Linked DNA regions of Lytechinus pictus. The protein of the gene in region 1 binds, or shares a complex with, the protein of each later gene. Links are inferred from orthologs where the notes say so. Each region holds a gene or a part of one and is shown in the gene's direction. Other genes may lie near its edges.

The links.
Region 2: the proteins of methylcrotonoyl-CoA carboxylase subunit alpha, mitochondrial-like (region 1) and methylcrotonoyl-CoA carboxylase beta chain, mitochondrial-like are in contact, whole or in part, in a cryo-EM structure (PDB 8JXM), measured with the Homo sapiens proteins. The link is inferred for Lytechinus pictus from reciprocal best matches to the Homo sapiens genes MCCC1 and MCCC2. Residues at the interface, in NP_064551.3 of Homo sapiens: Glu519, Phe526, His531, Asp532, Phe534, Ser535, Pro536, Phe537, Ser538, Ser539, Ser540, Ser541, Gly542, Arg543, Arg544, Leu545, Asn546, Ile547, Tyr549, Thr550, Arg551, Tyr568, Tyr636, Leu637, Ser641, Glu644; in NP_071415.1 of Homo sapiens: Leu56, His57, Val60, Glu61, Lys64, Asp88, Ile91, Pro93, Gly94, Ser95, Pro96, Phe97, Leu98, Glu99, Gln102, Ile123, Gly124, Arg125, Gly128, Glu130, Arg234, Trp276, Leu278, His281, His282, His285, Lys298, Lys299, Leu300, Ile304.

What each region holds. Positions count from the first base shown.
Region 1 is NC_087260.1:10,672,330-10,676,259, reverse strand, and holds the start of methylcrotonoyl-CoA carboxylase subunit alpha, mitochondrial-like, read left to right. Parts: upstream 1-1,617; 5' UTR 1,618-1,859; coding exon 1,860-1,894; intron 1,895-3,930.
Region 2 is NC_087247.1:31,535,946-31,539,875, reverse strand, and holds the start of methylcrotonoyl-CoA carboxylase beta chain, mitochondrial-like, read left to right. Parts: upstream 1-1,672; coding exon 1,673-1,836; intron 1,837-3,930. UniProt on the Homo sapiens protein: Carboxyltransferase subunit of the 3-methylcrotonyl-CoA carboxylase, an enzyme that catalyzes the conversion of 3-methylcrotonyl-CoA to 3-methylglutaconyl-CoA, a critical step for leucine and isovaleric acid catabolism.

The sequences.
Region 1 (3,930 bases):
TAGGGGAAAATATGGCACATTTTTTCGGGGAAGTTCAGGCTACTAGAAAAATGTGATCTGAATTGATTATTAACTTGTGTTTGGCATGTATAGAAAGAGAAAATTCAGGGGCTTCTTTTGACAGTAAGGACAAGTTTATATGATCATTTTAAATAAGGATTTAGAGATAAATTGCAAACCCTTATTTTTGTGTGTGTTGAGATTGCCATTTCTCCATGCGTTTCTATGGGAAAATGAAATTTCTGTTTTGCACAATTTTTTTCACTTTGTCGCAATTTTTCATTGTGATCTGGTTTCCAAATCTTTATAAAAATCATACCATCAGATAGAGCATAAAAAATCCTATTGGACTCTTTATGGACAAGTTTTTGGCATTAATAATAAATTTATAACAGCTCTCGATCTCGGAAGCTAAAAATTTGGATTTGTGTGTGTCCATTTCTTAACTACACAGTCTTTGGCAGAGAAATGCTGAAAATTTACCTCCTAGGCCTAATTTCATTCTTCTTTTTTGCAGCCAATAATTGGATTTTTTTCAAAAATGTTACATTTCTGTCAGTCTGAAGGTCATTTCTCTTCGAATTCACAAAGAAAATGTGATATTTTCTTGAAATAAGAAAAATAATTTTTTTCTCCAGACACCCTAGGCCTAGCCTAGGCCTCATAGTCATAGTTTTTTTTTTCTGACAAATTATATTTTATTTATTGCTGGAGTTTGGTTTGGACTAGGGGTTATTTAGGCCAGGGTTAACATAATATTAATAATGTAACTCGGAATAGGAAATGAAATGCAGAAAAGATAGTTTAAAGGAAGAGAAGAACAGATGACAATTATATAGTGAGTGATTGTATTACCGACCGGCCTTGTATTACCGAACGCGCGCATCATACGCATCAGAAAATAATTTTATTCGCTCAAAATTTTGCAACATCCCGGGGCAACATCCTTCCAAAGAGAACTTAAATAGAAAGATGATGAAAAGTTGTAAAAAACACATTATCAAAGTCTTAATATTCTAAAAATAACAAAAATATGGTCAAAATAGCTCATCAGTGATTTTGTTGTTTTTTCAACTTTTCCCATAGAAAACACATGTTCGGTAATACGATACCTTTTCATGTGACCAAAATATTTCACATGCGAAGAGGGGTCCGATTGGAAGCTAATATCGTAAAAAGGACTAACGATTTCGGCAAAATTTTTACATATTTATATTTTGTAGGTAATTGTGTATTTATGGTGAAAGTTTGGTGAATTTTATGATAATAATGTGTTTGATATGATTGAATTCATGAAAAGTGTTCGGTAATACGATCCACTGACCACTACCATACAACAAACACCTCCAAAATAAAGTCATACCTAGGCCTACACAATTAACAGCATATGGGACTGCGCCGGCGTTAGTGACTAGTCTGATAAACTAATCTGATCATTAATTTTCGTGTTGTGTTTCAATACATTAAATTTATAATTACATCTTAAATAGCCACACTCAATATGTATACGATTGACTCCACGGAAAAAATCTCACAAAATATAAAAATATTGCTTTTTTAGCTTAATAAATGAGAAAATGAAGCGATGAAATGGGCTTACCTTTCAGATATGTTGATAATGGTTGCTGGTAACAACGTTGCCAATCGGTCAAGGCCAAGGGTCGTTGCTTCTCGCATTTTTAAATAAAATTACAAAAAAATCAATTTAATTTACTAAATTCATTTTTATATAATTTTAAAGGTATTCTTGTGAAAAATCTTGAAGTCTGATCATCATGAAAATCAATAAATAGTAACATTTAACATACGAGGTTGTGAATTTTTTTGCTGGTTCGTATTTTTCGGAAAGAACGTTAAAAATGGCTTCTTCTCTGATATTGCAGCTGAATTCGAGGTATGTTTGCCTATTTTGAAAAGCATTGGTAAAATCAGATATAACTACACCGTCTTTATGATGGTTTACTCAAGCAAAATTTATTTAATGACGTATTACAAGTTCGCTATATTTTTTATGTAGACCCACATGTATGATTTTGTGTAGCCTAACGTTAGGCTAGCGCTCTCAACTTCTTCTAGTTCTATATTAGTATTACTCACTAGGATGGGGGGTCGGATGTCCGGACACATTATATTTTTGATGCCTTCTTTTTTGTCTTTGGATTACACTAAAAATATGAATTCAATGGAAGTAATAATCTTCTAATTTGTTCTCTATAATATTTCCTAACATTTTTGATTTTGTATTAAAAATTGATGAAACTTCGCTTGTATTTATTTTTCCAAATAGTTTAGTTTCTAATTCTATTAATAATTATATTCTAAAATTGATCGTCCGGACACACAACAACTGGGTATACTATTAGTATACTAATACTAACCTCGAAATACATGTGAGTGATCTTGGGCTGGCAACCAGCCAAGAACAGGGCTGCCAACTTTTGAGAAGAGTTTGGAGTGAGACATTGTGAGGGCAGAGATGCCAAGTTCAAAAAAATGTTATGCGTGAGATTTTCATGACTCGGCGTTTCTGCGCGCGCGCAACCAGTACTTACACTTGTACGTTTCGAAAAGGCGCGTGCGCGAGATATAGTATTGATTATAGGCTTCATCATGATATCGATCCATATTACTACCATGTCCATACTGTCGGGTCCCGATGCGTGAGAAAAATGGGTGCCATGCGTGAGATCGTGAGACGGACCCTGAATGCGTGAGTCTCACGCACAATGCGTGAGACTTGGTAGCTCTGCGAGGGAGGGAGCGAAGCGACCAAGCCCGAGGGGGGGTGGAAGGGGAAGGGGGGGTGTCCCCCCTTCCACGGTATAGGGAGCTTTTGCACATACTTGTTTTAACTCAGATTCGGTCATAAGGCAGGATTCAAATACATGTAGGTTAATTGACTTTTTTAATGAAGTTCTCTGACCTTGAAAAAAAAATCCACATTTTTAAGCGCATTATTCCAAATCAACTGTCTTTATATTATATAAGCTTAGCAGTGAAACCTCAACCTGTGATTATCTGCTGCTCCCTTAAAAGAATGAAGGAAAGGAAGAAATAAAGAAAGAAAAAAATAAGAAAGAAAAAAAGAAAAGGTAAAAGGATGGATGGAACAAAGAAAGAAAGAACAAAAGACAAAGAAGAAAGGAAGGAATGAGAGAAAGATCGAAGGCTGAAAGAAGGAAGAAATAAGAAACAAGAAAGGGTAAAGAAAGGATGGATGGAAATGTTGAACATGCTGCTGATATTGCAAAAAGAGCCAATACCAAGCTTGGCATAATTAAGAGATCCTTCACGGCTCTAAATGAGAAGGGCTGGCTCAAACTCTACAAAGCTATTGCAAGTCCTACCCTAGAACATTGTAATCCTGCTTGGGCTCCAGTCTTAGAAAAAAGATGAAGATCAACTAGAAAAGATACAACGAGACTACTTCCCAGCATTCGTCATTTAGATTACCCTGAAAGATTGAGAATTTTGGGACTCCCTACTCTTTCATACAGAAGGCAAAGAGCAGAATTAATTCAAATCTTCAAAATCACAAGAGGTATTGATCGGATAGATCTGAGTAGCCTGTTCCATCTTGATGATAATAAAAGGACCAGAGGTCATAGTATGAAATTCAGGAAATACTGATGTAGATTACAGACACTGCAATATGCTTTTACAGCTAGAACCATTAATAACTGGAATGCTTTGCCTGAGGAAGCAGTTTCTGCTAAGTAGTGTAAATGCAAATAAATCTGCAATCGAGAGGCACTGGAAATCCCATCCATTAAAATATTGACCATACCAGAGACAACCCTACGTGACGAGGGACAAATAAGCTTCCAGCTTTATGTCTCTACATCCAAGTAAATCCAAGTAAGTAAGAAAGAACAAAAAAGAAACAAAGAATGAAGGAACGAAAGGGTAAAAAGAAGGAAGGAAGGAAAG
Region 2 (3,930 bases), on another chromosome or scaffold:
GCTCGCTCGCAACTTTTTTTTTTAATTCTGCCCGACACGCAATATCTGGCCATCTCAAAATAGTCGTCTCACTACACCATTACGCCTGTTCATACCATGATATGAAAGGGAAATTTTTGGCTCTTGCCCCCCCCCCCCCCCTGGCCACCGACCCCTGTTACGCCGCTGCCGATCTCGTGTAGATCCCTCGATCCATTTGTCAACAAAGCAAATACAATAGACCTGACCCTTGAACCGCTTCGTTATGACATACATCCGATTAGCGATGCCATTTTGAACAACAATTTATAGATAAAAAATATTATTTCACAAATACTAAAATTTAATACGTGATTATAAATAATTAGTATAATACTACTAATTATTATATCATCTTATACAGCATGCAGATTCTATATGGTTCCTTAGAACTTCTATTTATTTTCTCTTTTTTAACAAAAATAAAAGTCCTCCTTACTTTCATTTTCAAATTGAATAAAATTACCAAGAGAAAAAAAAAACAATGAAAATGAGAGAATGAGAATAATTTTTTTTCTTCAAAGAACAGGGTATTTTTTAAAGAATTATTTCATCTAGATATGATTATGATTGATTAAACACCTTAATATACGAGCAGTCTCAGCTACTGTATTTAGGAAACCCCCCCCCCCCTATGTTTTTCTGGGCTTCCTATTGATTAGAGGGGCTCCCGCTTGTAAGTAATGGTGATTCTGATTGGTTTTTCTGTGTAAAGATGGGCGGGGATGTACAGAGATATGAAAGAGAGAACCCAGTGTTCAGAATAGCGATTTGTTACAATCATAGCAGTGTCACGTCTTGGAGAGAAATAACAAAATTCATTACAAAAGTTTAATACCATTGAGGTGAATTGAAAGACAGACCATGTGGTTTTTTTTTACATTTATACTTTTAACTCTTACCATTTTATGTCTGTTATGTATCACTGTTCATAATCATGAGAGGCCTGTGGGTCAATGACTTTTTTGAGGCAATACGAGACTGGGCTGTACACTTCGCAAGTTCGCACTGAAAGATTAGAAGTTCCTCGATAGGAGTTATAATATAACAGCTTAAGGCATTGTTTTAGCTGTGACTTTCTTATTCTTCAACATTGAAAATGAGGAATAATCTCTTCTTTCTTGACTCTGAATTCTAAAAGATATATTTTTAGACTAACATGTACATACATGGAAATTTAATGGGAGAAAATACGATTCTGGTGAGAATAGAAAACTTTTCATTATATAAGCTTATTTATACATTTTGGGGATAATCCAAGAATATATGGAATAATTTTTCGTCATATTTGGCTTATTTAGGTATAAAAATACCTTATTGGGATAATCAAAGAATATGTTATAGATTCATTTATTTTTCACTTTTTATTGCTTTTGGGCTCCTTTTCCTGAATGAGAAAAAATATATATATATCAGCATCAAACTATAGATGGAGGTATAGGCATTGTGGATATAACAAGAGTTCAGTGAATTGCCCAATGACTTTGAACATCGTAGTTCTAATTTAATTTTTTCTCTCTATTTTGAAGTTCTTGCTCTATTTGTGTAAGAATGTTAAAAAAAACATGATTTGAACACTTTTAATTTGCCCCCAAATGTCTTGAAGACAATTATAACTCCTCGCTAGCACCACTAATACTTGGATGTGTTTATCATGCCATTGCAGGAGAACTATGAACAGATGAAAGGACTTGTTAATCAACTGAAATCTACAGTATCGCAGATTGCACAGGGTGGAGGAGAGAGGAGTATAGCGCGACATGTTTCACAAGGAAAGATGCTCGTCAGAGAGCGAATAACAAATCTTTTAGACCCAGGGTAAGTTTTTTAGTAGTAGTATGTATGTTTCTAGTTTTCTTGGTTAATCGCCACCCATGTTGTCTACATCCATTTTGTCTCCTTTCGCTTGATTTAACCCTAGTTCAATTACAATCAGTTCTTCTTCTAACCATCTGGTCTAATTGCCATTTAGCCCATTCACTATGTTGTCTAATTTCCAGATACGTAGGCTTTACCCATTTCATGTAACATCTACGCCAACCCCAAAACAACAATAAGTCACCGGGGAAAGTTCCCTGTAATTGTTTGTGACCAGCCACCCCCAAAACAATAAATCGCCAGGGAACAGTTCTCTGTAAATAGCCAAAATAGTAATTTGATCTTCAAAAACCAAATAATTGATTAGCTTATCTGAAAGAGCAATTCTTCTTCATAATCATATTGTTAAAATTTCAAGTGTAAGCGTTTGATAGAAAAGAAGATGAAAGAGTTATTTTGACACAAGTTTTTTCAGAGTACTTGGATGTTTCATTGAGATTGCTCAGTGTGTACATCTCATGCTTGAGTGAACCCCCAAATTAAAATCTTGTTTTCCCCTTATTGTTTTAAGCTGCCGCTTACATGTACTTCTGCATCCAATCAAGTAATTGTATGGGTTATTGACTAGCTTTGACAAGATATATATCATCTTAAAGCTTGGGATGTGAAAATCTCAAAATACTTGTTGGGCAACTTATTGATGGTTTTTTGGTGGCTGGTCAAATTTGTTCTTAAATAGTGAAATTAGCTTATCTGAAAGAGTATTTATCCTTCTTCATGCTGTTTAAATTTAAGTTGTAAAATTAATAAAAGCCAATATACACGATTTTCTTTGACATCAATTTTTCTGAACTGCTTGAAAGTTTCTTAGGCCTGTATCTCAAGCTTGAGAGAACCCCAAAATTCGAACCTTGTTTTCTTGTTTTCTCCTTATTTTTTTAAGCTGTCACTGAATACATTCTACATGGATTCAATTGATCCTTGTGTGGGTTATTTTTTAATCAATTTTGACAAGTTATATATATAGGCTATGGATGTCCTTTTTGAAGCTCAAGAGAAATCTCAAGTTTCATGTTAATAAACTAATTGTTGGTTTTGAGGTGGCAGGTCACGTCTGACGAAGTGTAAAATGAAGAAGACAAAGTGGAAATTGAATTCCCAATATAATTGTAGTGGTGATGATCAAACGCATTTCTTTATTTTACAATATTTGTTCATATATTTACTCTTTTACCACCTCTTCTTTTGGTATAAAACCACTTCTCAAGCATGGAATAGGTTGAAAATACAAGGATATGATTTCTTTTTTAATGTTTATTTGCATAAAGGTGATTGCACTATATGCCATTTTTTTAAGAAAAATCAAAAATATTATCAGGTCTGAGAAATGGCCCTAGATATGAAACAATTCAAAATTTTATTTTAACAGTTGAAAGATTATTCAATGGTCACAACTATTTTGTGTTAGTACTCAGTAGCATGTCAAATGATACTTGAGTATAATTCTTTACCCTTAACCAAAGCTTTAGTCCTGCTTTAAAGGAGAATGAAACTCTTGAAGCAAGTTAGCTTTTGTGAAAGCAGAAAAATCAAAGAATAAGATCAACAAAAGTTTGATTAAAATAGGACTAGCAATAAAAGAGTTATGAGCATTTGAATGTCGAGATCACTAATGCTATGGAGATCCTCCCATTGGCAATGCGACCAAGATCTATGATGTCACAGATGAACAACTCTCCCCTTTTGGACACTGAAAATATACCCCAAAACATCTCTTTTTGCTCATTCTAATCATATGACAAACGATTCATCAATGATATAATGTTGTGAAACCTCTGTACTTGTCCTCTCATAAAGTGAACACCTCACCTTGTGATAGACTCTATAAAAGTGAGAATATAAGTGAAATTAGTACTAAAGTAATGAGGGAGTTGTACGTGTGTGACATCACAAATCTTGGTCGCATTGCCAATAGGAGGATCTACATGGCATTAGTGATCTCGACATTCAAATGCTCATAACTTTCTTATTATTCATTCAATCTTCCTCAAACTTTCAACAATATGTTTCTTTGATTTTTCTCTTTGATATGGA